Oryctolagus cuniculus: one gene and its partners. The protein of the gene in region 4 binds, or shares a complex with, the protein of the main gene of each other region. Links are inferred from orthologs where the notes say so. Each region holds a gene or a part of one and is shown on either strand. Other genes may lie near its edges.

What was found.
Region 1: SF3B2 (region 4) and SNIP1 share a complex: the UniProt entries of both Homo sapiens proteins name them as parts of the minor spliceosome. The link is inferred for Oryctolagus cuniculus from reciprocal best matches to the Homo sapiens genes SF3B2 and SNIP1.
Region 2: SF3B2 (region 4) and PLRG1 share a complex: the UniProt entries of both Homo sapiens proteins name them as parts of the minor spliceosome. The link is inferred for Oryctolagus cuniculus from reciprocal best matches to the Homo sapiens genes SF3B2 and PLRG1.
Region 3: SF3B2 (region 4) and RBMX2 share a complex: the UniProt entries of both Homo sapiens proteins name them as parts of the minor spliceosome. The link is inferred for Oryctolagus cuniculus from reciprocal best matches to the Homo sapiens genes SF3B2 and RBMX2.
Region 5: SF3B2 (region 4) and EFTUD2 share a complex: the UniProt entries of both Homo sapiens proteins name them as parts of the minor spliceosome. The link is inferred for Oryctolagus cuniculus from reciprocal best matches to the Homo sapiens genes SF3B2 and EFTUD2.
Region 6: SF3B2 (region 4) and SF3A2 share a complex: the UniProt entries of both Homo sapiens proteins name them as parts of the 17S U2 SnRNP complex. The link is inferred for Oryctolagus cuniculus from reciprocal best matches to the Homo sapiens genes SF3B2 and SF3A2.
Region 7: SF3B2 (region 4) and SNRPD1 share a complex: the UniProt entries of both Homo sapiens proteins name them as parts of the minor spliceosome. The link is inferred for Oryctolagus cuniculus from reciprocal best matches to the Homo sapiens genes SF3B2 and SNRPD1.

The regions. Positions count from the first base shown.
Region 1 is NC_091438.1:135,212,801-135,217,099, forward strand, and holds the start of SNIP1 (smad nuclear-interacting protein 1), read left to right. Parts: upstream 1-1,499; 5' UTR 1,500-1,590; coding exon 1,591-1,814; intron 1,815-2,873; coding exon 2,874-2,976; intron 2,977-4,299. Other genes in the region: DNALI1 (axonemal dynein light intermediate polypeptide 1), read right to left, coding at 139-284, 671-784. UniProt on the Homo sapiens protein: Required for pre-mRNA splicing as component of the spliceosome. As a component of the minor spliceosome, involved in the splicing of U12-type introns in pre-mRNAs. Down-regulates NF-kappa-B signaling by competing with RELA for CREBBP/EP300 binding.
Region 2 is NC_091439.1:11,052,317-11,056,480, reverse strand, and holds the start of PLRG1 (pleiotropic regulator 1), read left to right. Parts: upstream 1-1,364; 5' UTR 1,365-1,466; coding exon 1,467-1,475; intron 1,476-2,808; coding exon 2,809-2,915; intron 2,916-3,230; exon of another isoform or gene 3,231-3,302; intron 3,303-3,971; coding exon 3,972-4,114; intron 4,115-4,164. UniProt on the Homo sapiens protein: Involved in pre-mRNA splicing as component of the spliceosome. Component of the PRP19-CDC5L complex that forms an integral part of the spliceosome and is required for activating pre-mRNA splicing.
Region 3 is NC_091453.1:108,064,832-108,067,816, forward strand, and holds the end of RBMX2 (RNA-binding motif protein, X-linked 2), read left to right. Parts: intron 1-224; coding exon 225-402; intron 403-921; coding exon 922-1,430; 3' UTR 1,431-2,485; downstream 2,486-2,985. UniProt on the Homo sapiens protein: Involved in pre-mRNA splicing as component of the activated spliceosome. As a component of the minor spliceosome, involved in the splicing of U12-type introns in pre-mRNAs.
Region 4 is NC_091432.1:5,766,885-5,771,099, forward strand, and holds the start of SF3B2 (splicing factor 3B subunit 2), read right to left. Parts: upstream 2,801-4,215; 5' UTR 2,735-2,800; coding exon 2,602-2,734; intron 2,485-2,601; coding exon 2,438-2,484; intron 2,325-2,437; coding exon 2,247-2,324; intron 821-2,246; coding exon 581-820; intron 414-580; coding exon 363-413; intron 1-362. UniProt on the Homo sapiens protein: Component of the 17S U2 SnRNP complex of the spliceosome, a large ribonucleoprotein complex that removes introns from transcribed pre-mRNAs.
Region 5 is NC_091448.1:18,115,124-18,118,623, forward strand, and holds part of EFTUD2 (116 kDa U5 small nuclear ribonucleoprotein component), read right to left. Parts: intron 2,729-3,500; coding exon 2,562-2,728; intron 1,094-2,561; coding exon 969-1,093; intron 1-968. UniProt on the Homo sapiens protein: Required for pre-mRNA splicing as component of the spliceosome, including pre-catalytic, catalytic and post-catalytic spliceosomal complexes. Component of the U5 snRNP and the U4/U6-U5 tri-snRNP complex, a building block of the spliceosome.
Region 6 is NC_091447.1:59,110,152-59,114,377, reverse strand, and holds the start of SF3A2 (splicing factor 3A subunit 2), read right to left. Parts: upstream 2,801-4,226; 5' UTR 2,645-2,800; intron 2,021-2,644; exon of another isoform or gene 1,914-2,020; intron 1,623-1,913; 5' UTR 1,589-1,622; coding exon 1,463-1,588; intron 1,356-1,462; coding exon 1,284-1,355; intron 894-1,283; coding exon 847-893; intron 662-846; coding exon 552-661; intron 286-551; coding exon 236-285; intron 126-235; coding exon 1-125. Other genes in the region: PLEKHJ1 (pleckstrin homology domain-containing family J member 1), read left to right, coding at 3,131-3,224, 3,303-3,370, 3,460-3,526, 3,600-3,690, 3,821-3,884, 3,973-4,089. UniProt on the Homo sapiens protein: Component of the 17S U2 SnRNP complex of the spliceosome, a large ribonucleoprotein complex that removes introns from transcribed pre-mRNAs.
Region 7 is NC_091441.1:56,034,661-56,038,808, reverse strand, and holds the start of SNRPD1 (small nuclear ribonucleoprotein Sm D1), read left to right. Parts: upstream 1-1,348; 5' UTR 1,349-1,541; coding exon 1,542-1,555; intron 1,556-1,641; exon of another isoform or gene 1,642-1,815; intron 1,816-4,148. UniProt on the Homo sapiens protein: Plays a role in pre-mRNA splicing as a core component of the spliceosomal U1, U2, U4 and U5 small nuclear ribonucleoproteins (snRNPs), the building blocks of the spliceosome.

The DNA of each region.
Region 1 (4,299 bases), on a different chromosome or scaffold from region 4:
AGATGCGGTCTCCTGCCACCCTCTGGACTCGGCTCCAGGCCAGCAAGGGAGGAAACCCTGGCCAGGCACGGGGGCCGAACGCCTCTCCCCACACTACCAAAGTCTGGTCTTCTCCCAGCCTCTGCGCCCACGCTTTACCTTGGGGGCAGAATGGCATTCAAAATTTCTTCTGCCTGCTTTGTAGGATCTGGGACACAGGAAGTTGAGGGGAGCTTGGTCTTGGTTATCTGTGGGATTGGACTGGAGGGTCCCGGCTGCTGGGGGCTGGCTTTCAGTGGCCGAGCCTGGGAAGAGACGATTCAGGCCTTCAGCCCCCTGGACGCCTCCGGGTCTTGCGCACCCCCTCCCCTACCCCCAGCCCGTGAAGAGTCCCTGGTCCCAACGCAATGCGCGGACCAGTGTTTCTGGAGGAAGCGGTCAGGCGTCTGCGCTCCCACCTGTAGCGGTGGGGACATCGCGACCTGACCTGTCCTTGAACCCGACTACCGGGAGAGGAATCCCTACCGTCTGTCTCCCCGCGACCAGGTCTAACCTGCGGCGCTCACACCCAGCGACATCTGGACCACCCGGACCACTCGCTCCCTCTCCGCCCGTCCCAGGGCCCGTCCCCGGACTCCGGACTCTCGCCGCGGGGATCTGCCTGGCCCGGTCCCCCGAGGCCCGTCCTCACTTTGGGGCTCCGTTTCTCCGTGTTCCGGCTCACCAACACCGGGGTGTCGTACTTGAGCAGAGAGTCGGCCGGGGGGATCATGGCGGCGATGGGGGCCTGGTTTGCGGTCACCATGGAAACCGCCCCCCCTCCCGGCCGGGGCGGGGCCTCGGGTGGGCGTGGCGCGGCGCGCGGACGCGTCCCGCGCAGCCCTGGCGCTCGGCCCCGGCACTCGGCGTCTTAATCTTGCTGCCAGCCGGGTCGCCCGGGAGACGGGGGTTCGAGTCCCTGCGCTGCGTATAGCGCGCAACTTGCGTGATTGGGTAGATCCCCCTTCGCTGAGCCCCAAGATTGTCACCTCAGTGAAGGGCTGGAGACCATTCCCCAAAAGAGGGTCTCTGGAATCCCCAGGGCTTTAAAAAGTATTCCTCAAGGTTAAATGGCGAACTGACATAGCAGGATTTGTCCACGGGCTACTATGATTGCATTTTTGTATTTCCAAGGCCAAATGGAATCACGGTTGGCGCGCAGTTTCGTCGCCTTCCTCTACCGTGTCGGTCCGGGCTTTTTCCACAAAGCGGTATATGGTTCGTGATAACGTTACTAATAGCTACGTAATGCCCAGTGATTGGCTAAGGAGCCCCCTACAGCTGTACACTGAGGTTGCCCACATGCTCTGTAGTTACGCGGTGAAGAATTAACTTGAGAGGTTCGCTTTTCCCCAGTAGTTTGCTTTCCAAACTTAAAACTCCCGCCCTTCGGGCCGGCTCCCTGCAGCCCCGCCCACGGGGGGGGCGCCGTCACATGTTCAGCGCTCCGCCGCGAGGGTTGCTGGGAGAGCTCACACCCCGGAAGCGGAAGTCCAGAGGTCAAGCTCGTCATTTCCTTCGGAGAGAGTGGCTCAACGGACCTCTTTTCTTTTGCCCGACCCGAGTCGCAGAATGAAAGAGGTGAAGAGCGAGCGGGAGCGGAGGAGCCGGCGGAGGCACCGGGAGGGGGACGTGGCGGCGGCGGCGGCGGCGGTGGTGGTGAAGCAGGAGCGCCTCAGCCCGGAAGCCGAGCCGCCCGCCCCCCGCCGGCCGGACCTCGGCGCTACTCCGTCCCCGCCGGCCGGCGAGCCGGGCCGCCCTGGCCACCGCGGGAGCAGAGCCCGGGGAGAGAGCCGGTAAGCAGAGAACAGCCGGGGTGGACCTTGGGTCGGACTCATTGAGAAAAGAGCACAGGGCCGGCATCAGAAGTGGGTTCTGAATGCCGAGCCCAGCAGCGGGAGGCGGTGGGAGTGGCCGGGTCGCGCTCGGGTAAAGGCGTGTGTGCTCCGGTGCTGGTTACTTGCGTGACAGCTGGGGTCGAGCTGATGCCTGTGGGTCAGGGCCTCGCCCCCTCTTTCGTGTGTCGCCAGCACTTCGCGGAGCGCGTGGCCCAGCGGCTAGCACTCATCGTCCGTTAAGTTGAAAGATTTTCCCCCCGTCTGCCCGCGCAGGGAGTGCGGGCGTTGTCTTCGCCCTTATCCACCCCACGCGAGTATAAGCGATCTGCTAGGTGCACTGTTTGTTCATCGTTCAGCGTACTTTTACTGAATGCCTATAGGGTACTAAAGAGTGCACTAGGGACCTGGGCCACACGGGTGAGGCTTTCGTGAAATTGGACGAGCTTGAGCCCCAGGAAGACTGCCAACATGCAAACAAAACAGTTTCCGATGGCAACAGGTCTCAGGGCTAGGTCGGCCCAGTAAGGTGATCGTGAGAGACTGGAAGGAAGCGGGGATAGAACTCTTTGAAAGAGGTGCCGTTTGAGCAGAGACCTGAGTGATCTGGCCGCCGAGGAAACGTGCAAGGAACGTGAGCTAGAAGTCGTGATCGTGGAGGAGGAGGAGGATGGTAGCGATGAGGTGGGCCGGGGAGGAGGTGCCTCCCGTGAATTGTGGTGATGAGAGTGACTTCTGCATGGTGGTGGGCGAACAGCCAAGGGACAGACCTGGACAGGAGAGTCTTCAAAGGGTAGGGGATGGAGAGCCGTGTTCCCTGAGTGAGGAGGATCCGAGGCTCCGAGGCAGCGGCGTAGGCGGGAGAGTAGGTGAGGAACGGGAAGCCCCCCGGCTCCTTTGGTGTGATCAGCAGTCTTTCACAAATGTGTTTGTGTTAGTAGGTAAGCCCCATACCAGAAGCTAGCTTATGTGGGGGAAGGGAAACTGAGATAAAATCCTGTGTGTACCATGCCCTGAAAGGTCTCCAGCCAAAAAGAAAAACAAGTCCTCGGGGAGAAGAAGCAAGTCTCCTCGGAGCAAGAGAAGTCGGAGTCCTCACCACTCGGCAGTCAAAGTGAAGCAGGTAAGTGGGCTGGGGTGTGTTGAGGTGGGGTCTTAGGCCAGCGCCTCTTCCTGCCACCGCAGCCAGGGAAACAGCCAGCCAGAAGCACACCCACAGAGACAGCACCTACACCTGCAGCGGGCTTTTCTGAAAACTGAGTGTGTGAGTTTGTTTTGGTTGTTGGTAAATTTCTGCTGGTTTTCTTAAGCTTTTTTATTTTGAGATAATTACTGATTTAGATCAGATTTAATAAAGACAGGTGTTTCTCCCAATGGAAGCATGGTACAGAAGTGTAGTCACAATATCACAATCAAAATATTGGCATAAGTTACAAAACGTTTTTCCTGCCACCTGGACATGGCATGTTGTCCTGTTATAGCACACCCACTTCTTTCCCACCTTCTCCCTTCCATAAGTCCTGGCAACTTTTAATCTGTTGGCTTAATTTTGTCATGTGTCAAGAATGTTACAGGCCGGCGTCACGGCTCACTTGGCTAATCCTCCGCCTGCGGCACTCGGTACACCGGGTTCTAGTCCCGGTCAGGGCCCCGGATTCTGTCCTGGTTGCCCCTCTTCCAGGCCAGCTCTCTGCTGTGGCCCGGGAGTGCAGTGGAGGATGGCCCAAGTGCTTGGGCCCTGCACCCGCATGGGAGACCAGGAGAAGCACCTGGTTCCTGCTTTCGGATCAGCGCGGTGTAGCGGCCATTAGAGGGTGAACCAACGGCAAAAGAAGACCTTTCTCTCTGTCTCTCTTACTGTCCACTCTGCCTGTCAAAAAAAAAAAAAAGTTACATAAGCGGCATCACACACCATGTAACCTTTGGGACTGGCTTTTTTCACTCAGCAAAGTTCTTTGGCATGTAGGTTGTTGCATTGATCAGTTCATTCCTTCTTCTTGAGTGGTATCTGTAGTATTAGTTTAGCCGTTTGTCCATTAAAGAACATCTAGGTTTCCAGTTTTTGACTCTTACACATAAAACTGCTGTATAAACATTTGTGAACAGGTTTTATGTGAACATAAGATTTCATTTCTTTGGGATAAATGCCCAGGAGTATAGTATATAGTATAGTATAGCATATATAGTATATATGCTATATATTATACTATAGTATAGTATAGTAGTTGCATGTTTAATTTTTAAAGAAATTGTTTATTTTCCATAGTGGCTGTGTTCGTTTGCTAGGACTGCCATAACGAAATACAGACTAGGTCGCTTAAATGTTAGAAACTTATTTTCTCGTTATTCTGAAGTCTAGAATTTGAAGAATAAGGTGTCAAATAAGGTGTCAGGTTTAGTTTCACCTGTGTGGGGGTAGGGAACTGCTTTTTGGCTTGCAGGTGGT
Region 2 (4,164 bases), on a different chromosome or scaffold from region 4:
AACACAAAATTTAGCCGCACTACACATAATCCATGTATCTCTGAACTAGGTAAGAGGGTCACTCGAGCTTTGTAGACCATAAAGCTTCAAGCACAGTACATAATTCTGTATATTCAACAGTGCTTTAAAAAGAGTAAAAAGTAGTTCAATTTGCTTCAATCACTACAATATTTTATAAGAGTCTGGGTTTATAAATTAAATGTCTCCAGGATTATCGAACAAGCTTACAAGTCCAACTAGACAGTTCTTGTATTGTCGGATACATTGGAGTCTTGCTTACATTTCTAGTTTGTCATTTAAAAACATTCTTTTCCATAGTAATTACTATTCATAGGTGAGTTATATTTTTATTCCCTATGTATACGTACTCTACAGCATTTCCTTGCAAAGTGTCCTATCCTGGGCCACTTTAACAGAAAATAAAATCTGAAGTCAAACTCGCATTCAAATTCTGAGATGATGGTATTTTCAAGTAAAAACATAACCTTAATGTTTTAAATAAAATTAAAACTTCGTGAATTTCAGGAGACTGTTGAACCACTTTGCCCTGTTCTTGCTGGAGACTCCTCCCACGCGCCCCACTGCACCCCAGACCCGCAGTATGCGCTGGGGACAGGATCAGTGAAACTGATGAGGGTTAAGGGAGAACCGGGGCCACCGAGATGACTGTAGATCTGTTTGCAAACACTCAACTACATCAATTTTGTAGCTGCATCGTGGCATTACTGAACCCATATTCACCAACAACTAGGCAGTAGACAAGTGGTAGGTCGTTTATGAGAAACTAAAACACTATGTAGCCCAAAATAAATGTGGGGCTGTGCTGAATGCGGTAAAAGAGTTATTCTGCAGACATGTCCAAATTTCTCAACCTGAAACCACGGTTCTGCAGCATGCCTTCCCACCAGCGCCGCTGGATTCTGTAAGCGCAACTATTTCCAAGCGCTGAGAACGCACCAGGCTCTAAGCGCATCCAGCCAGGCGCTGCAATCAGCCGACCCAAACGCGGAAGGCGACCCCTAAGTCAGTGAGACCGTGTTAGGGCAGGACCTCAGAGCCCAGGCAGGGTCGCTCTCCAGAACGCCCCCCGTCCCCCGCGCTGATTTCTTAACATTTCCGACTAAAAGCCATCCAGCTTCCAAGGAATTCAGCACAACGGACCAGGGCCCCTAACGCACTGTAAAACTGATTCAATTTGGCAGAAAACAGTATTTTGACTCGTTCACAACGCTCTGCGACACGTCCCAGCCCTGTCCGTTCAGACTCGGCCCCAGGCGCGAGCAGGAAGGCCCGCCCCCCGCCCCTGATCCCGAAAGGCCGAGCGAGCGGCGCGCGCGCGCAGCGCTCTACGTCATATCCGGCGCCAGGCCGTCCGATTCCGGAAGTGGCTGCCCAGTTGTGGCGGCGCTCTCTGCGCGGGTGATAGGTGTCTGTTCTGCAGGAGAGCTGGGGTACACGGCATCATCATGGTCGAGGTAAAGTGATGGTCGGGCGCTCAGGAGGCGTTTGCCTCTGGAATGTTTTATTTGGCAGCGCGCTGGGGGGATGGAGCGTGCTGGGAGGCTGGAGAGGGAAGAGGCTGCCAGGGCAGCTGTGTGGCCAAGGCCAAGTGGTCTCTTCTTAGGGAGGTGCTTTGCGCAAAGGGTCTAGGGTGCATGGAAACCCGAGTCTGAAGCTCCGTCCGGCGGGGAGCCGTAGATGATTTCTGCAGTGCTTGTCTGACCCCCGGAATCCGGGCTCTGACCTCGGAGGCGGGGCTCCTGTTGATGTCCGACCCCTGGCCGGTTGTCGCTGCCGGCGTACATAGTGGCACTAATTCTGCCACCTAAAAGACTCTGGCGGTCAATTCACCTCGTGTTTCAGCCCACGCCAGGAAAGCCTGCCGTTCTTGATGCCTTACGTGTTTTTCCCACCTGGTTTGAACATTAGCAGGCCTTGCTCGTCTTACTGCGAACATTGCCTGACGCCATCCTCTCTGGTCCATATCCGCTGCAAGTCATCTTAATTCAGACGGACGTTATCTTTAGCCAGGAGCGACGCACTGGCTTCCAGCTGACTTTCTTCTTTTTTTGCCCTCCTATAAATTGTTCTATGCAAGACATAAGTTGGCCATGGTTTTCTGGCTTAAACCCCTCTCCTGTCCCTGTGACAATAGGACAAAACTCGAGACTGTTGGAATGGTCTAAAAAAGGCCTTTCCTAACTGGACTTTACCTGCCTTGGCAACCTCGGCTTACTCCGCATCCCACCCTGTCACCCAGCCTGCACCCCGGGCATTATTTCAGTCCTTGGTCACCTTTGCACTGGGCATGTGCCGCTGCCTGGGCTGCGCTTACCTGTGTTCCCTCCTGTCTGTTCGGACTTCGCTGCAGAGCGCTCTTTCGCCGTCATATCTGGTTCCTCCTGTGTTCTCTGCCTTGGCCTCTTGTCTTTATAGCGCTTACCCAAGTGTGGACTTGCTTTCCTAGTTTTGCTTGTCTTCTTCCTCCTGAGTACAAGGAGCGTGCTGCCTATCATTCTGTTGTCAGCTTTAGCACCGTGCTGACAGAGAGGTGGAGCGAGCCTAGTAGGTATTTCCTGAGTAAGGGGGTACTCTCACCTCACTCAGCTGCTCTAGCCGAGGCTCTGGCGATGAACTTGACCCCTTGTAGCTTGCTGCAGGAGTAGCTGTGGTGAGTGGTATGGAGCGTTCGACATTCTCACACACGTAAAGCGTCTGATGAGTTTGACTGTAATTCAGGTTACGCTGTGGGTAATTTATAGGTTAAGTGTGTAATTACACACACACACTCTCTCTCCCTTTCTCTAGGAAGTGCAGAAGCATTCTGTGCACACGCTTGTGTTCAGGTCCTTGAAGAGGACCCATGACATGTTTGTAGCTGACAATGGAAAACCTGTGCCTTTGGATGAAGAGAGGTAGGCATAGTTTTCTTTCATTTGCTAAAATTGTTAAAATTCTAATACTGGGAGAAGAGATCAGGGAAAGGGAGACCTTTAAACATTACTTAGTAATACTTGGTTTTACTCATGTAGTACTCAGGTAGTGCTCATGGACTGTCTCTTTAATGAAAGCTCTTTGGGCATAATTTTAACTGGTTTAACCTTTCTTTTTTTTTGGCCTTTATGGTAAAGAATCCCATTAATTAATTGCATTTTACAAATGTCCGGTAATTAGGAGAGTCCCGTTCAGGTATTTTATTTTATAATCAATCACTTTGTATGTGCTTTCAGCTTCCCGCTGCTCTCAGAGCCTTGCTGAGCTGAAATTGTACCTGGCCAGTACTTCTACTCCCATCTTTTCTCGTTAGTATGGTGAAGATTGTTGAGTGGGGGCATAGTTTTGGTTCTACATCTCCAGCTCCAGTCTGGGATTGCATTATGTGCAATGTTCCTTCTTTGTCCTTTGCCCTTCTTTTTAAAACTTAATTCCTGAAACAAATATTTCTATTTCATTTACAAGATGAGGTTTTCTTAAAAGTAATATAAGTGCATTTCTTTTTAAAAATACTGAACTAATTTAGTACTTTGATTAGTTCCAACTAACCTTTCTAGATACATCTGTTTAAGGTTACTGAGGTAATTTTTACTGTTTTTATATTTAGATATATGAAGGAAATAAGTGTAGGCCTTGAAAGAATTTTTAAGGGTATATTAGTTTCTATATATCTTTAAATCAGTTTGACCTTTGATAACTAATCATGAAATGTTTTATTTATTAAGTGACAAATTAAAATATTACTTGGATTTAATGCCTGCCATGTGATAAATTGTGAATTAAAGTAACTACATATGATGTGGAAATGCACTTGGAAATTTTAGGTTTTTTTGAAATATTGTTTAAAATCTTACTAGAAACTTATACGTCACTGGGCAAACTTAAATTATGTTTCCTAGCTATCTGTAAACACTTAAATTTGTGAGTGTATTTTACATATTTAAGGATACATTCTTATGTTTATAATTTTTAAATAGTCACAAACGAAAAATGGCAATCAAGCTTCGTAATGAGTATGGTCCTGTGTTGCATATGCCAACCTCGAAAGAAAATCTTAAAGAGAAAGGCCCCCAGAATGCAACGGATTCATATGGCCATAAACAGTATCCTGCCAATCAAGGTCAGTATGGTGTTATCAGCAATATTTGAGAAATATAAAAACAAATAAAA
Region 3 (2,985 bases), on a different chromosome or scaffold from region 4:
GAGAACGCTAGTACAACTGTCCCGGGCCCAGCTGGCTGCCGCTGCCCTAAAGGCTGAATGGGTTACCATCTAGGCACACCTGCAGTGATTCAGACTGGTTGAGTGGGTCTGCTGTGGCGGTTTGCGCCGTAATAGAATTAGAGAGAGGGTAATAGATGGCGTTCAAACAGCTGGACAGTTTGAAATGAAGCCTGCCTTTTTGAGACGCTGCCTGTTTTTCTTAGATCAAAGGAAGAACTATCCGGGTAGATCATGTGGCTAATTATCGGGTTCCTAAAGTCTCAGAAGACATGGACGATGTGACCAGAGAGCTCCAGGCGATGGGCTGTGGTGTTAATACCCCCTCACCGAGTTCATCTGAGGATTCTGAAGAAGAGAAACCCATAAAAAAGCACAAAAAAGGTAAAACATTCAAACCCAAGAGAAACTTGGCAGTCTTAGCATCTGTTCCTCCTAGAGTTCATTGATGGTTGATAATCGGGTCATAAGTATGCGAAGGAGAGGTGGGGGGACCTTATTTTAATTGGGGAAGGGGAGGTGTCAGCAGAAGACTCCTGTTCTGGGTTGAATTGTGTTCCCCAGAATCGACACGTTGAACTCCTCACCCCTAGTCCACTGTGACTGCATCTGGACATGTGGTTTTCAGAGAGAGACTGGAGTGGGAATGGCCGTGCCCAGCAACTTGACGTTGCGGGTGACAGACATCGAAGTTGCTTCCCCGCAGCACTTTCCCAGAAGCACAGGGTGACGGCTTCACGCTGCTGCCCAGCCTATTTTCCTTGCCCATGGGCTCCCCTCCCGGCAGGCAGGCATTGGTAAACTGGTCTACCTTTGCTGGATGTCACGTACACGGAGAGGAAAGACATGGCTTTAGGGAGTTCTATTTCCCTTTTGTTACCGATTGTCGCCCTTCTTCTCCAGACAAAATGGAAAAAAAGAAAAGACGGAAAGAGAAAGAGAAAGAGAAGAGTGACCGGACAGTACTGGTCGAGCAACCATCTCCCTCTTCCTTGCCCAGAAGCAAGACAATAAAGGAAAAGGATGAGCCTGGCCCTAAGACAAGCAGCACCAAGGGCTCCGAGAAGGTGCCGAAGTCGGAGTCCAGGGAAGCACGGAAGCACTACCCTGTCTCCCCTGAGGTCAGAACTGTCCCCCGCGGTGGAGTTGAGGACCTGGCCAGGGAGCTGAAGAAGGAGAAATCCAAGCATGAGCACAGGTCCTCCGACAGGAGAGAGGCCAGAGAAGAAAGGAACAGGGATAGGGACAAAGGACGAAGCTCAGACGCGTGTTCTAGCTGGCACAATGGGCATTCGGATGGGTGGAGCCATCGGAGTAGAAGTCGGAGCCGAGATCGATCTCACAGACAGAAGAAGTCCCGTAGCTCCCGGGAGCGGGAGTCCTCAAATCTCAGTGAGCGTAGGCGTCACTGAAGCCAGTTCAGCCGCTCGGTAGATCTGGAAATGAAATGTGTTTCTAAAATGCAGTCAGATTCAGCTACGCCATTACTTCTCCATATGAAATCTCTAGAGCTGATTTTTAAAAAATCCCTTGAGTAGTGGAGTCCTTGAGAAGGCTGTGGTTTCATTGGCAGATACCCTGCATTTTCTAGTACAATCCATCATCCCTGGAAATATACTTGGAACTTAACAGAGAACGTGTCCTGAATTTTCGTTCATAAATTGGCCATGGGGCCCATAGCCCCCCCAGCTTGAGATGAAATTGCCAGAAAAGGAAAATTACAGACAATTCTAGAGGCCTAGTCTTTGTCTTCAATGTTGAGAACCCAGCATTCTAAGACTTCCAGTTAGCAGGTAGAACTGCAGTGAAGTGTGGTTTAACTAGGTTCAGACAGCTGGAGGTGAATGTGATGGGATTCTTTTTTTTTTAAGTATTAATTTTATTTATTTGAAAGGCAGTGTTACAGAGGAAGGGAGGGAGAGACACAGAGATCTTCCATCTGCTGGTTTACTCCCCAAATGGCCACAACAGCCAGGGCTGGGCCAGGCTGAAGCCAGGAGCCAGGGACTCCATCCAGGTCTCCCACATGGGTTTGGGGACCCAAGTACTCAGGCTATCTTTCACTGCTTTGCTGGGCGCATTTAGCAGAGAACTGGATCGGAAGTGAAGCAGCTGCAGCTCAAAACTGTTGCTCATCTGAGATGCCAGCATCACAGGAGCCAGCTTACCACTGCACTACAACGCCAGTGCCTGATGGGATTCTTAAGAACAACCAGCTCCCTCTCTAAACCCTGTTTGAAAACAGCTTTAAATGTCTTGTCTTTTTCTTTTTTTGGTTGAGATATTTTTCCACATACTTTTTTCCCTTGGAATTCTTTGTATTGATGTGAAATGCAGATAACATAAAGTTAACCAATTCAAAGCAATTCAGTGGCACTTATATTCACCATGTTGTGCAAACACCACCTGTGTCTAGTTTTGAAGCATTCACATTGTCCCCAAATAAAACCTAATACCTATTAAGCAATAACGTGCCATTACCCCTATCCTCCCTGTCCCTGGAAGCCACCCATCTGCTTTCTGTGTCTATGGATTTGCCTGTTTGGGATGCTCCACAGAGCAGGAATCACACAGCAGTGGCGTTTTGTGTCTGGCTTCCTTCACTAAGCATAATGTTTTCTAGGTTCATCCATGTTATAGCATGTATCAGTACTGCACTCTGTTTTAAGGCTCAATAATATCCTGTTGAGAGACCACGCTTTGTTTCTCCATTCCTTGGGACGGACGTTAGGATTGTTTCTACCTTTGGTTAGTCAGCTTCCTGTTTTGTGTGCAGACACGCCAGGCGACCTTCTGTGCTTGGTTTGCTTTTCACGTAGCCGCTCTTGCTCAGGTGGGAACACTGGTAGCTCCATCGCACACCTTTGGTCTGATTGGTAGTTCCTTCTCATTTTGAATCTTAGTTTCTATTATAGCACTCAGCCCCTTATGAATTTGGCAGGAACTGGTTCACAGGCCCTGCTGCAG
Region 4 (4,215 bases):
TTCCAAGGCACCTAAGGGGACGTCGTGTGGACTAGTGGTGGACCAGTGGGCATCAGCCTCCACGGGCTGTTGTGAGGACTTTGCTAGACATTCTTGATTTGGGCTTTTCTTACAACAACCCTTTACAAATAGGAAAAAAATTTTCAGCTCACAGCTCAGACAGACACAGGCCACAGGTTGTGGTTTGCCAACCTGTGGGCTGAGGAACAACGGAATTCTTCAAGAGATGCTGGAATTTAGCTGGGGATGAGGCAGCCTCCAAAGAAAACGCGAACGGTGCCTCTCGTCCTGCACACTAAGCACGGTTAAGTGACAGCCAAGGCCTGGACCGTGAGGTCAAAGGTCAGGAAGGGGGGCATTACCCGCTTCTGCTGCTCCAAGAGCTCGTGCTCCTTCAGTGAATGATCTCCCTGCTTAAGAGAGAAAACAAGCTCACACCAGCACAACTCCCCACGGCCCGCCTGCCCCAGCTCTGCCGCCAGCCTGCGGCCTGGTTCTGCCTCTGGTCCCGGCGCCAACTCCCCGAGCCCACTCTCTCCGCAGGGACCCACGAGGCCAGGCCCAGGCTCCCCCGCCCTACCTGCTTGGCGCGCTCCTCTTGCTGCATCAGCAGTGCCGCCTGCTGCTGCGCCAGCTTCAGCCGCTCTTCTTCCGACAGCGCCACCGGCTCACCCACGCGGAGAGGAGGCGGGGGCCCCAAATTTGGTGGGTGGGCCATGGGAAAGCCAAGGCCAAGGCCTGGTGGGGGTGGAGGGGGGGGTGGAGGGGGCTGCAGAGGAGGGAGCCCCATGGGTGGCGGTGGCATGGGAATCCCAGAGAGCTGTGGAGAAAATGCGATCGTGAGCCAGGAGGCATTCGCCCACGCCCTCTGCCAGCATCCGCTGGGAGCCTGCTCTGAGCCAGGCACTGGGATTCCAAGTCAGACGAGATCCTGGGGTCGGTGCTGGGACACAGTGGGCTAAGCCTCCGCCTGTGATGCCAGCAGCCCGTATGGGTGCAGGCTCGTGGGGAGTGAACCAGCGGATGGAAGACCTTTCTCTCGGTCTCTGTCTATAAACCTTCCTCTCAAATAAATAAGTAAAAAAATATTCAAAATCAAGGAAAAAGACAGAGACGTGATTTCTTGCTCTGTAAGAGACTGCTCTGTGCACTGGAAGAGAACGGGAAGTTCTCTGGGATACCATCCAAAGAAAGCTACCGACTGTCTCCACGGAAAAATACCACGAACACAGCTGCTCCACACGACTCCAGGACACTTGAGGGACCAGCGCTGGACACAGCGGGTTAAGCCAGCGTCTGCAGTGCCGGCATCCCCTACAGGAGCTGGTTTGAGCACTGGCTGCTCCACTTCCGATCCAGCTCCCTCTAGTGCTCCTGGGAAAGCAGTGGAGGATGGCCCAAGTGCTTGGGCCCCTGCACCCACGTGGGAGACCCAGAGGAAGCTCCTGGCTCCTGGCTTCAGCCTGGCCCAGCCCCAGTCACTGCAGTTATTTGTGGAGTGAACCAGCGGATGGAAGACCTCCGTCTCTCTAACTCTGCCTTCCAAGTAGATAAATAAACCTTTTAAAAAGAGACACTTTTAAAAAGAGCCACGGCTCACTAGGCTAATCCTCCACCTGCAGCAACGGCACCCCGGGTTCTAGTCCTGGTCGGGGCGCCGGATTCTGTCCCGGTTGCCCCTCTTCCAGGCCAGCTCTCTGCTGTGGCCAGGGAGGGCAGTGGAGGATGGCCCAGGTGCTTGGGCCCTGCACCCCATGGGAGACCAGGAGAAGCACCTGGCTCCTGCCATCGGATCAGCGCGGTGTGCCGGCCGCGGCGGCCATTGGAGGGTGAACCAACGGCAAAGGAAGACCTTTCTCTCTGTCTCTCTCTCACTGTCCACTCTGCCTGTCAAAAAAAAGAAAGAGCGAGACAAAGGCCGCTGAAGGAGTGCAGAGCCATGGGTCAGAGGCACTCTCTGGAGGAAAAGCATCAAATCCTGCATAAGTGACGGACGGGAGACAACCGGCGTGCCAGGCGCTGCGAGCTCTGCAGAGTCCACCCGCGCGTTCAGTCTCGCACAGCGACACGGCAGCACGCGGGGCGGGCCAAGAGGTCGACACGGCAGCACGCGGGGCGGGCCGCATTCAAGCGGAACCCCCGGGGCCAGAACTCGAAGGCGCGGACGCCGGGAAGCGGGCCGGACCCGGAGCTCCCACCTCCGCACGGCAGCCCGACGCAGGCGAGAGAAGGGGGCGCCCCCTTACCTGTGCCGACATGGGAGGGGGCGCGGCTTTGTCCCCATCTTCCCCTCTCAAGACCGGCCGGTTCAGCACGATGCCCGTCTGCGAGAGAGAGAGCGAGGCTCCAGGGCGGCCCACCAGGGAGCCAGAGACTCCTCCGCGCCGGGGCCGGCCACCACGACGCCGGGCGGGCCCCCTCGGCCGCCGGCACTCACCTGGCGCGTGTAGCTCTGCAGCCGCTCCACCAGCTCCTCGCGACTCCCTGCGGGCGAGGCTCGGGTCAGCGGCGCGGGCCCGCCCCCGCCCCCAGTCTCCCGGGTAACCGGGCTCCGCGTCTCCACGGACCCTCGGTGCCCTCCCGGCCCCTCCAAGCCCTCACCCTGGATCGGAGCGCCTATCTCTGCCAACTTGGCCTGGAGCTCCTGGGCAGCCCAGGCGCCATAGTGCCCGGGAGGCGGCGGCGGCGGCAACTGCAATTCGCCTTTGGGAGGCTCGGGATGCTCGGCCGCCATCTTGGCCACAGGAAGGCGCGCGACCAGCCCGGAAGCTCCGGCCGCCCTCGGGGCCTACTTCCCGGAACTTCCGGCAGCGCCGCACGCCACGTCCTCTCGGCGGCGGAGGGAGCTCGGCTTGTCACGTGACTCGCCGGCCGGCCGCCGAGCCTTCTGGGAGTCGTAGTACTGAGGCCGCCGAGCCTTCTGGGAGTCGTAGTACACTGAGGCCGCGGCTCCGACGCGGAGCGCAGACCTGGGCTGCGGCGCCCGGAGCGGGGCCGCGCGGGCGGCGAGTCCCGGCCCCAGGGAGTGCTTTCTGCGTCTCGCCCGCCCGAGCGCAGGCTTCCAGCCTCTGGCTCGACTCCCGGGCCAAGCGTGAGAGGCCTGAGTGCCTGCGTTCCCAGGGGGTCCCGAGGGACTCGCTCCGCGGCGGGAGCGGAAGGTCGGGCCGATTGTCTGCCCGGGCCCGCACGGACGGAGTGGAGCGCTCGCTGCCACCCAAGCCCCTTTCACATCTTCCAGGCCCGCCCTCTCCGGCTTTCCTGGAGTTCTCGTAATGCGTTCAAATCTGCTCCATCTTGTTCAAGTCTTGGTCTTTGCACTTACATCCGCCTGAAAAAGACGAGTCGGGGCTTGATCCAACGGCTGCAGCCCCTGGCGTGCAAGGGGCGCCCAATAAAGGTGACCGGAAGAGCGGATCTTCAGCGACATCACTTGTTATCTTTTTTGGTCTTGGTCAGCCCCACTCCGCTGGCATCCCCTGCCGAGCTCACGGAGAGGCGAGCAGGGGACCCTGCCTGCCCAGCTTCCACGTTTGACTGCGCTGCCCCATCGGCTGCATTTCACTTTCCACCTGTGCCACCAGCTCTGCGTCTCCAGGGCCTGTGTGAGTCCTTGTGCTGAGTGACAGGAAGACTCACGAAAGGGTCTCACCACACGCGCGCACACACACACACCCTCAGATCCTTTCTCCACCCAGCTGCATTTAACTGTCCTCAGTGAGAAATACCTGGGAGCCGGGAGCACAGCCCAGAAGGTGAGGGTTGGGGGCAGAGCAAAGCACCGGGCCGGGGGAGCCTGGCTCACACCCCTCCCTCCCACCCACTAGGTCACCAGCCCACGGCTCCTGCTGCCAGTCCCAGGGAAGTCACAACAGCACAGGGAAAAAAAAAAAAAAAAGCGGTGCCCTTCTCTCTGGCACATCAGCCCACTCAGGCAGAACCCCTCCCGGCCTGAGGGAAGGTTCTTTCTGCTCCCTGTAACCGGAGAGCCCACCGGGGCAGGTCGGCTGAGGCTGCAGGCACGGAGCCACGTGCCTCCACTGTCGGGAAGGGGGATCTCTGGGCAGGAGAGGAAGGGCTGCTGGTGACAGAGCGGGGGCCGGGGGACACACCAAGGCGGCCTGGTTTTACCCCAACAGCCCCGGGATGCAGAGAGGAGGGGCGGGCGGCGAAAAGGAGTTGACGTGCGTGTCCCCGGGGCCAAACTGCGGCCACGGC
Region 5 (3,500 bases), on a different chromosome or scaffold from region 4:
TGAACTTTTAAGATCCCTTATATCAATCTAAGTAATATGATATAATTTACATAAAATAACAGAGGGAATTATAACAAAGTACTAAAATTTGTTATGGTAATGAAGTTAGGTATGAATTTTGATTTTTTTTCAACTAGGCTTTAATATATTTTCTACAATGTGCATATAATTAAATAGCTACATGTTTTTAAAAGGATCCAGGTTTACCCACCCTTTCTCTCATGAGAGCAAGGTGTCCACCTGCAGGGGAGGCAGGCTAACCAATGGGCAAGCAGCAGTGCTGGTGCTCCAGGCTTTACCAACTGGGAGACCCTACAGGGCCTGGCCCCTCAGCTCGGTAAATGGGGTACCAGGGATTCCCCTCGAAGGCAGAATAGCACCTGACACACAACAGACTCTCTGTACGGGGTTCTTGTTGGAATCTGTGGTAACTGGGAGGCACAGGGATAGACAGCCAGGAAGCGGCACGGAGACTGGGGGTCACGGTTGCAGAAACCTGGGAAATCATTCAGCTGGGTCTGTAGCGGAGGCTCGCATGTGCTGACTCCACGTCCAGCCTGAGTTCTCAACCAGGCCTTGCAAATGTGCATGTGCCTAGATCGGGCTGGAGAGTCGCTGGCAGCACACACGGTGAGGGAGAGTCCACTTGTGAGCAGGAGGCCTGGAAGGCCTCTGTACGCATGGGAAACTTGCACTTCTCAGAATCTGTCTCGCTCTAAAGCGTTTATGCTTAAGACAAGCCCCCTGTTCTCCCATTCGCTCCCAGTCACGTTCATCTTACTACTGTTCTGAAGCCACTCAGCCCCTTTTGGTCTGGAGGCCAAAAAGAGGCTCACTTGTAACTATAAAAGGCAGCAAAATGCTCTCCCCAGCAGGACACTGTGATGCGAAGCCACCTCTGAGGCATTCAGGGGAGAGGCACACAGGACTCTGGGGAGGCTGGCAAGACAGTGCCAGGCTGAGCTCACCAAAGGTGTCGGCGTAGATCTTGGCAAAGGAGCCCAGCGTGAAGCAGATGCTGTACTGGGAGCTGGAGAAGCAGACGTTGCCCAGGAGCGGGGAGAGGATCAGGTTCTCGTCAGTGGAATACATGCTGCAACAGACACAGGGTAAGCGTGCCGCAGGCCCTGACCTCTGCCACGGGGGACGGGCAGGGATGCCTACACAGCCACTCGCCAGCCCTCAGGAGGAGCTTGCATAAGACGCTCAGTCTGGCCAACAGCCTGGTCCAAGGAAGTGACATGATGGAGCTGTTCCCTAACTCTCAGTAACAAGCTGGCTTCTCAGAGCCGGGAACGTTCCGCACAACCTTGGAGGAGCTAACCACATCAGACAGACAAGGGCAAATGTGGAGGACAGAGACAAAGACCTTGGAAGACGGGAAATGAATCTAAAGTGATAAGAAATGAATATATTTGAGAGAAATCTCAACTTCACAAACACAAACATAAGAGAAAGAGCGAGAGAGACACAGAGGTAATTTATCCTCTACTCTTCTTTGTCCTGTAGTCTTCGGCTTTCTTTTAAACATGAATGCTAAACCGCAAGCACCTCAAAAGGTCACGAGCATTTGTAAGAAAATCAGCTGTACACAGGGGTCACACCCACAACTCTATCCTAACGGGCACATTATTTTATGGGATCCTCTCACTTGGAAACGAAAGCATTAGCTTATAAAGAACGGCCCCTATCCATCCCACTGCACCCCCCATTCTGCTCCCCAGTGGCAAGCGGCTTCAATCCATTTTATAGCTGCCTGGAGTACTTACCTCCATATCCCTAAATACTGTTTTGCTGCTTTCTGATTTTGAGGTTTCAAACATGCCCTCTTGATTTTCTATCCTGGTAGATCAGGATTTAGTTCCATCCCACCCCCAGCCTTCCTTTTAAAAAGAAGTGCTATTACTTCATCTTTTGGACCCATGACGCTGGGCTGGGCTCCAGCCATTCCCAACCACTCCAGGGATGAGGAGGAGACACTCCCAGTAGGCAGCAGTGCCGCAGGCTGGGGCAGCTGCGGGCAGCGGAGCTGTCACCGGCCCCAGCCGTCAGACAAGCTCCCAGTGGCCGTGTCCTCGCCCACTTAGGGGTCTCAGGAGTCGTTCAGTACATACTTCAGCCTGCAGATAAGACTGGCTTTATTTAATTTCTTGTAACATCCCTCTAGGCAAATATTACCATCATTCCATTTTTTATAGAAATGGAAACTGAGCTTATGTAATTTGCCAGACTCTACAAGAGAGCTTAACTTATTTTCCCTACTTCATGTAGTTGGTACGCAGCTAGGATGAGACCAATCCTAGAGCTCAAGGTATTGCCCATGACAATAAATTAAAGATGCACGAAGGTCACAACTGGCTAAGGCACAGGTACTGAGGTCAAGGTCGTGGAGGCAATCTCTGTAAAGACCTGAGATGCGCCTCCAGTCTTGCCCAACAAGCTCATCCACACACGTCAAGAAGTAAATCAGAGTTGCTCCCAAAGGTATTCAAGGGTAAAATTAAGATTTATAAAAACCAGCGTCCCTGAGGACCGGAAATCCACTCCCAGCAGTTTCATACCTTATTAATCCATTGACCTCATCCACAATGTGGCGCAGCTTGTAATAGGCATCGGTTGGAGGCAGCTTCAGCTCCAGGATCAGCCGGTCAATCTTGTTGATGCACACGGTGACCGCCAGCCTCTCCTGCACCGCGTGCTTGATCAGCCGCTCAGTGTTCAGCATCACCTGAGAAACACAGGCTCTGAAGGTGGTGACACAGCAAAGAGGACAGAAAGTCCAGAGCAGAGCCAAAAGGGCACCGCTTCCAAACATGAAGCAAGAGGGCAAACGAGAACCTGGGGAAACACACTGCTGGGCAGCAGCAGACAGCATCTCGCCAAAGGCAGATGCGGGCACTTTCAGAGGACACCCTGTAGGACTAAGAAATGAATAAACACACTCTCAGTGCTAGAGAAAGGACAAGGCAGGCCAGCAACAACTGTGGTGCTGGATGGGAACTGGGGGATGTTAGGATGGACAAATGATTTTTAAAAAACATTTATGTATACATTTATTTGCTTGTTTTAATTGAAAGGCAGAGGGACTGAGAGAGAGAGAAACAGAGAGCACTTCCATCTACTGATTCCCTTCCCAGATGCCGGCGATAGCCAGGAGCGGAACTCAATCTGAGTCTCCCATGTGGCTGGCAGGGACCCGAGTGCTTGGCCATCACCACTGCCTCCCAGCGTGCACATGCGTAGGTTGTTAAATCAGGAGTGGAGCTAGAACTCAAAGTCAAGCACTCTGAAACAGGTTGCAGGCATCTCAAGCAGTATCTTAACCACATGCCAAATGCCTGCCCGTGGACAAATGATTTTGAATACACACGTGTAGAAATAGTTACATATATCCGTATGCATGTGTGCATGGATATTATCTAGTTGTACTCTGTGAAAGAACCTACAGGCACAGGCAATGTACCCCGGTGGCAATGAGCACACCCAGATACTTGTTTCTA
Region 6 (4,226 bases), on a different chromosome or scaffold from region 4:
TCGTAGGGCTCGGCGGCCATCAGCAGGTACTGCCAGCGCCGGTCCGGGGGCTCGATCCTCTGCTCGTAGGCCGACATGAAGCGGTGCCGGGGGGTGATGCCCTCGGCGATCTCGGGGTAGTCGATCTGCGGGCGGGCAGTGTCAGGGGCCCCCAGCCCCCACTGCCCCCCGCCCCCGCAGCCCCCACCCGGCCCCGCCCCCGCGGCCCCCCCCCCGACCCCGCGGCCCCGCCCACCTGGAAGAGCAGGCTCTGCTGGCCCATCTCCGTGTCCCGCTGCTTGGTCACTGCAACACCAGGGCCGGTGAGGGGCCCCCCCGCAGCCCCACGTCCCGCCCAGGGCGGCAGGTGAGGCCCAGGTCCCAGCTCAGAGGGCCGGCCCAGGGCTGCACGCCACAGCCCCGCCTGCCCCTCCGTGCCCAGGACCCCGCCTGCCCACAGCCCCACGGCCTCGCCTGTCCCCGCCTGCCCCTCCCTGCCCAGGGCCTCGCCTGTCCCCGCCTGCCCCCCCCCCCCCGCCCAGGGCTGGTGTCGGGCGGCCCCGCCCCCTCACCTTTGTAGCCAGGGCGTCCGATCTTCACGAACTTCTTCACCTCCACCTTGACCTTCTCGGGCGCGGGCTGGGCGGGCGCCTCCTTGGCCTCCTTGGCTGCGCGCCGGGCCCTGGGGCGGGGCAGACGGGCGCTGTGGTCCTCCACACCAGGCCAAGGCCACGGGCGCAGGTGCAGGAGCCCCCCTGCCCGGCCTTGGGCTCCCGCGGGGGGGGTGAGGGGCGGGGCCCTGCGGCTGGGGGGCGGGTCAAGGGGCCCTCCCCCGTGTCACAGCCGGGGGGCGCGGGGGGCACTCACAAGTTGGTCTGATGCTTCTTCCCTTGAGTGTGTGCGAGGTAGCTGCCCTGCGTGGAGGAGGCGGGACATGAGGCCGGGGGCGGGGCCAGGCCGGTGGGCGGGGTAGCGGCAGGCGGGGTGGGGGAGGACCAGGCCGAACAGTGGACAGGGCGGGAGGGGGGGACCAAGCCGGCCGGGGGGTGGGGCAGCGGCAGGCGGGGGTCAGGCCGGGGGCGGGGGGATCAGGCCGGCTGGGGGCGGGGCCAGGCCGGTGGCAGGCAGGAGCGGGGGACCAGGCCGGCCAGTGGACAGGGCGGGAAGGGGGGGGATCAGGCCGGCCGGTGGAGGGGGGGGGCCAGGCCGGCCGGTGGGCGGGGCGGGGGCGAGGGGTTCAGGCCGGCCGGTGGGCGGGGCGGGGGCAGGCAGGGGCGGGGGCAGGGTACCAGGCCGGCCAGTACCTCGTTGTTGTGCAGGGTCAGGCACAGCTTGCACTCGTAGGAGCCCAGGTGGTTCTTCATGAAGTAGGGGTCCTGGGGGAGAGCGGCGCGGGGCGTCAGGGGCGTCAGGGGCGTCGGGGGCGTCGGGCGCGTCGGGGGCGTCGGGGGCGCCCCGCGGGGGGGCGGGCGGGCGGCCCTACCTTGTTGATGTCGATGGTCTCCAGGGCCAGCTGCCGCAGGCGCTCGCGGCGGTCCCGGTTGCTCTCGGAGGAGGAGGCCACGCCCCCACTCCCGGTCTTGCCGCCGGGGCGGTGCTGGAAGTCCATGGTGCCGGCCTGCGGACCTCAGCGCCGGAGAAGCCTGCGGAGCCCAGACCGGGGGGGGCCCTCAGGACGCGGCGGGGGCCGGAGACCCCAGGAGGCAGCCCCCAGCCCCTCCCGGGCGCACCCACGCGGGCTCTCCCGTGTCAGCCGCCGGGCCCAGCCGCGGGCGTCGGGGAGAACGGGGGCGCGGACGACCGCCTGGCGCCCCCCCGCCGTCCACTCCCCAATGCCCCTAAGCCAGGGCTGGGCCTCCCCGTGGACGGCAGGGGCCGCTCGGGCCCCATTCGGGCACTGGCCCGAGTCCTGGCTGCCGGCCCGGGCCCCGCACCTGCTCTGACCCGGCCCGGCCCGGCCCGGCCTCCGGGGACTGGACCGGCGGGAGGAGACCCCGCCCCTGCGACCCCGACTTCCGGGCACGGCGCGGGCGGCCCGGCTGACCCCAGGGCGCTACCGGGCCCGCCCGCGGTCCACGCACGAGCCGCCCCCGGCTGACCCCAGGGCGACCCGGGCCCGCCCGCGGTCCACGCACGAGCCCTGGCGGCCCCACAGCCCCTCCATCGGGACGCGAACCCAGGACCTCAGGGCTGGGGGAGGGGGAACCACGCGAAGGGACAGTCGGACAGCGGACCGAGGGGAAGACGCGGCCCCGGGCACGCAGGCTTGCGGGAGGGAAATCTAAGACGCAGCCGCATCGCCGTCCGCACCCGGGACGCCCCGCAGCCCCCCGGGCGCCCGCGACCGACCCCCACGACGACAAAGGCGCCAGCGGGGGCGGCCTCGGGGGTCCCGGCGGCTTTTGGCGGGAACGCCGGCACGCACCCCCGCGCGCGGCCCCGCGGCCCGGGCCCGCCCCGCCGAGCAGCCGAAGGCCCGCGGCCGCTCCCCGGACCCCGGAGCCCGCCCCGGACGGACGCGAGACCCCCGCGACCCCCGCGACGCCCGCCGCGGAGTTCCGGAGGGCCGGGGTCGCCGTGGGGCCCGCCGCCCGCCCCGGCCCCTCCCTCCCGCGCCCCCAGCCCACCCTGGGCGCCCCGGGGCCCCGATGGCCCCCGCGCCTACTTCGTGTGGGTCGCGCCCCGCGTCGCAGGCCTCCGCCGTCCGCCTCAGGAGCCGCCGCCACGACGTCGCAGTGCGCACGCGCGGCGCGGGCGCTCGCAGCACTTCCGGAGGGAGGACGGGCCCTCGAGTGTGCGCATGCGCGTGCCCGAGGCGCGCCTGCGCACAACGCGCTCCGCGCGCGCACCCGCGTCGGCTCTTGGGGGCGGGGGCGGGAACCGGTAACGCCCCGTCCGCCCGCGCTCGGCGGTCCTTCGATCCTGCTTGCGCCTCAGACCCACTTTATTCCGCGGCTGTGTCGCGGCTGCCCGGCGTGTACCCACGCCCCAGCACGCCGCGGTCGCAGCGCGCAAGACTCGCCCGTGGCGCGCAGGCGCAATGGCGCTTCCGGGGCTCCGACCTGGGATCTTTCTGGCGCGAGCGGGGACGGCGGCCGAGAGGGCTCAGAGCTAGCAGCGCGCGTTCCCGGTCCCGGGCAGCGCCGGCGCCATGCGCTACAACGAGAAGGAGCTGCAGGCGCTGTCCCGGCAGCCGGCCGAGATGGCGGCTGAGCTGGGCATGCGGGGCCCCAAGAAGGGCAGCGGTGAGCGGGCGCGGGCGCGGGCGGGGGCGCGGGGGCGCGGGGGCGCGCGGCCGCCCTGAGCCCGCTGTGTGCCCGCAGTGCTGAAGCGGCGCCTGGTGAAGCTGGTGGTGAACTTCCTCTTCTACTTCCGCACGGACGAGGCCGAGGTGGGCGCGGGGCGCGGGGCGCGGGGGCGGGGCGCGGCGCGGGGCGCGCGGGCGCGGGGCGGCCCCGCTCACGGCGCGTGTGCCCGCAGCCCGTCGGAGCCCTCTTGCTGGAGCGCTGCCGGGTCGCCCAGGAGGAGGCGCGGAGCTTCTCCATCGGTGAGTGCGCGGGCCGGGCGGGGCGGCGCGGGCGCGGGGCGGGCGCGGGCACCCACAGCGGCCGCTCCCGCAGGCTTCCTGGAGGACCCGGAGAGGAAGTACGTGTTCGAGTGCGGCAGCGAGGAGCAGTGCCGGCAGTGGACGGAGGCGCTGCGCAGGGCCAGGTGGGGCCGGGGCGGCGGGGGCGGCGGGGGCGGCGGGCGCGGCGGGCGCGGCGGGCGCGACGGGGGCGGCGGGCGCGGCGGGCGCGGCGGGGGCGGCGGCCTGACCCCGCGGGCACGGCCTCTCCCGCAGCTACGAGGTCATGCGGAGGAGCCTCATCTTCTACCGGAATGAGATCCAGAAGATGACGGGCAAGGTGCGGGGGGCGCGTGCGGGGCGGCCGGGCGGGCGGGGCTCCCGGCCCCGGGCCCCGGGTCACCGCGTCTCCCCGCCCGCCGCCCTAGGACCCCCTGGAGCAGTTCGGGATCTCCGCGGAGGCCCGCTTCCAGATCAGCAGCCCGCCCAGCGACGGGCGGCCGGCGGGCACCGGGCCCGGGCCCGGGCTGGACGCGCTGGACTGACCCCGGCCCGGCCGAGCCTGCGTGGGAGGGGTTCCTGGCGGAGGCGGGGGCTGCCCTCTGGGGGTCCCCGCCCTGCGAGGCCCCTCCCCGCGGCACCGGCCGTCCTGGACCGGCTGAATGTAGAGCGGAGCTAGACC
Region 7 (4,148 bases), on a different chromosome or scaffold from region 4:
TTCGATGTTTAGGCTGGTTTTTCTGGTTCTATGGACATTCCCAGTAGCTCCAGGAACTACTACCAATCTATTACATTCAAAAGGGAAGAACATTCTATGCAAAGGTCTGGTCGGATCAGTCCTAATGTGGACAAGTAAAGGAACCTGATCATTGACATAAAGGGTAGAGTCAGCTTCCTGAGGACCACGTGCGTCTCCAGAAGAATACTGAGAACTCTCGAGAAGAAAGGGGAGTAGAAGAGGTTGTGAGGACTGCTCACAAATATGCCTCATAGCTTTGCTACTCAAGTTGTGATCCATGGACTAGGGAAATCTTCAACTGAAGGCTTCTGGAAATGCAGAATTTCAGGCCCTACAACAACTGAACCAGAATTTTCATCTTCAAATTTCCTCAATGGGGCTGGTGGTGCGACATAGCGGGTAAAGCCGCCTCTACAACACCAGCATCCCACATGGGTGCCAGTTCAAGTCCCGGCTTGCTCCACTTCTGATCCAGCTCCCTGCTAAGGCACCTGGGAAAGCAGCGGAAGAGGGCCTAAGTGCTTGGGCCTCTGCACCCTTGTAGGAGACCTGGAGGAAGCTCTGGGCTCCTGGCTTCAGCCTGGCTCTGCCTTGGCTGCTGCAGCCACTTGGGGAAAAACGTATGGTTGGAAGATCTCTGACTCTCCCTCTTTCTCTGTTAACTCTGATTTTCAAAATAAATAAATCTTTATTTAAAAAATTCCTTGGGTCTGTCCTGTGCACATTAAAGTTTGATGAGCATTGCCTTACAACATCCTAGAGTTCTGGTGATCATGGATGAAGTTCAATCTAGATTTACAAATTAAAACCATAGTTTTGGAGGAGATCGCCCAGGCTAAAGGAGAAAGTTTTCCTAAAAAGGACTACAGCTGTAAGCCCTGAAGCATCCTGACACGTGTAAAGACTCAGAGGCCTAGACAGAACAGCTAGTGGGTTAGGGAGAAACCCAGAGTGCTTGGCCCGGGAAACAAAGGTAGAAGGTATTTCAAAACTGAAGTGTGTTGAATGTTACTGAGACGTTGAGTACGAGGAAAACAGACAACTGTGTCTCGGAAACATAATTCTGCAATTTTCTTCAGATTCATCAGTAATGCTAAATAAGGTTCTTGGTGTTGGACCAGAATTCGCAATAACCTGTGTTTCTCTCAAAACCGCTCTTTGTTCACGGAGGAAGTTGTATTTGGTGCTTCGCCAACGCGCCCCGCCGTGCCGAAGCGTGATGGCGACTGCTAATTGGATTTAACTGTTCAAATCGCCCTCTCCTTAGACAGACAGTCACGCCCTCAGCCTCTGCAATGCATACCTCCGGCAGCGAGGGGTCGCAGTCGCGCTCCCCTTGGCCGGAAGGCAAAGTGGCCCAGCAAGGCCTCGGCGTTTCCGCCGCACGTCCACAGTGCTCCGCGCGCTCGCTACGTCCGGAGCCCGTGGAGTAGGCGTTTCCGGCCATTCATACGCCTAGCCGGTCCTCGGTAGTTGCATTCTCTGCGTTATCGAGCAGAAAGGACGATTGCGCCGCTACGATGAAGCTCGTGAGGTGAGGAGGTGGCCGAGCGAGGCGGGGGCTGAGCCGTAAGGGTTCGGGCCGGGCTCGGGAAGCTGAGCGGTCCCGAGGCCGGAGGCGGGAAAGCCGCGTGCGCGCGGCCTGCTAACGGCCTGCGGCGCCCGCCGCGCGCGCCCCATCTTGGCCGCGGCTCCGGGTCGTGATCGATCGTTCTTCAGCCTCGCCTGTCTTCCAAGAGGCGGGCTTGAAGACCGAGCTGCGTCTTGTCACCTGCTGCCTTGGGGGCCTTGAAGGTGGCTTGGTCTCGCGTTAGTTACCCATTCTCATTGTGCGCATGGAGCTCCCGTGGGTCTGAAGACGGAGTTTATCATGGAAATAAGGAAGCCTACTTGCAGCATGTTTTAGATCAGAGAGGAACTAGTTTGCAAGTTGTGATTTTAAAGTTTTTGGTCTCTCTCGATGCTCCCTAGACTTTTGATCAGAAAAATCTCCCACTATGAGGCAAAAGCCAATACTTTTTGATTGTGGCTGGTTACACATAGCTGGTAATTCCTCCGGTTTCCTTTCTGCGATTGTGTTGCTTAGTTGAGCCTACTAAAGGATTGTTTATTGATGTTTGTAATTAGTTCCAAACTGCTTGCAGATAGGTTAGATTTTGGTGCTTTACATGGAGGCTGAGCCTGCAGCCCAGCGGTGGTTTCTGGTACTAAGCTAGCGGTTGGAAGTATTTGACGAGTTTCTTTCCTCCCAAGTCGAGACTGGCAGTGCTGACCAGTTATGGGGCACCTGTTACAGTTACTGTGTGCCGATAATAGAATTTTCTTAAAGGCAAGAATCCCTGCCTTGGAACTTTTTGTTTAGTGCTGAAGACAGATAAGTGGTTAACATCTAGTATGTTTGAAATACAGTTATACTTTATGGGTGGAGTTTGTAGAGAAGACATTTAATGTGAATGTTCATTCTTATTTGAATTATAACTTTGTATAACAGTCTCAGAACTCAGTGTATTTTTATATTTCTCCATACCTGCTCGTTTGAATCTTAATGAATTTTTTTTTTTTTTTTTTTTTTTTTTTTTTGTCACTGAAGATTCAGTTTGTCTCATTTGAAAATAGCACATGTTCTAGCAGAATTTCCCTGTAATTTTTAACGAGTGTGCTGAATCCCGTTCTGTGTCTTAGGTACTAGGTAGATACAAACCCTCTTGTGTCTTGCCTCAAGAAAATGGTTTGACTAATTAGTTTGTGTATGCTCATTGTATTTATTTCTGCATCTCAGTTGGTGGCATTATCATCCTTATCCTGTCACCCTAGCCAAAACCAGGGAGACAAACTTCACTTTCTTAAGTGAAGTTCAGTGTGTATTTCCTGAGAGTGGAAAAATTATACACTAGTGTAACCCAAACCCCTGCCATGGTAAAATACCAAAACCTCAAGAAGTTCCCTTAAGCTATCTCAAGTCAACTTTTAGCTCCACATCCACCAAAGCAATGTGTTTCTTCCACTGTAGTTTTGCCTGCAGTAGAATTTATTCTTTGGAATAAAAAAAGACTATATGTCTTTTTTATGTTTGCTTAAGATTTCTTAGCATGCTCCTGAGATTCATCAACATTTAGTTTTGCTTTTTGTTACTTTAAAGATTTGTTTATTTAAAACAAGGCAGAGCAACACAGAGAAGTGCCTCCCAACTGCTGATTCGCTTTCTAAGTGCCACAACAGCCCAGGCTGGGCCAACTGAAACCAGGAGCCAGGGATTCTGTCTGGGTCTCACACGTGGGTGACAGGGGCCCCAAACACTCTGGCCATCTTGGGTTGTTTTCCTAGGTGCATTAGCAGAGAGCTGGATCAGAAGTAGAGCAGCTGGTACAACAACCTGCACTCTGTTACGGAATATAGGAAGCTGTCCCAAGTAAAGGGTTAACCTGCTGAGTGCCGCCCACCCCCAGTATTTAAAAAAAAAAATTTAATTGTAGGATAGTAGTCCAATTGTATGTTTTAAAATGATATGTTTTGTTTAAAGCTGTTTTGAACATCCTTATGCAAATCTCTGTATACATAGCTTTGATTTTTCTTGGGTAAATACTTAGGAGTAGACATGCAGAATCCTACATAGGGTATACTTAGGAGCAGACATGCAGAATTCTACATAGGGTAAGGATATGTTTAACTTCATAAGAAATGCCCTACCATTTTTCAAAGTGCTTGTACCATTTTAAACTTCTAATAGCAATATGTTAGACTTCCAATTGCTCCACTTCCTCACCAGCATTTGTTGTTGTCAATCTGCTTAATTTTATGGATTTTAGTGGGTATATGGTAGTGTTTCCTTAAGTTTTAGTTTGTATTTTTCTAATGACTAATGCTTATTAGCTATTTGCACATCTGTTGTGATGTTATGTTTGAATCTGTTGTTTATTTTGATGGTTTCTTTTTATTACTGGGTTGTTACAATTCTGTATATCCTGGATACCAGTCCTTTGTCATATACGTATGTATATATATTTTTAAGATTTATTTTTTATTTATTTGAAAGAGAGCGAGATCTTCATTCGCTGGTTCACTTCCCAACTGACCACAACAGCTAGGGCTGGGTCAGGCTGAAGCCAGGAGCCCAGAGCGTCTGCTGG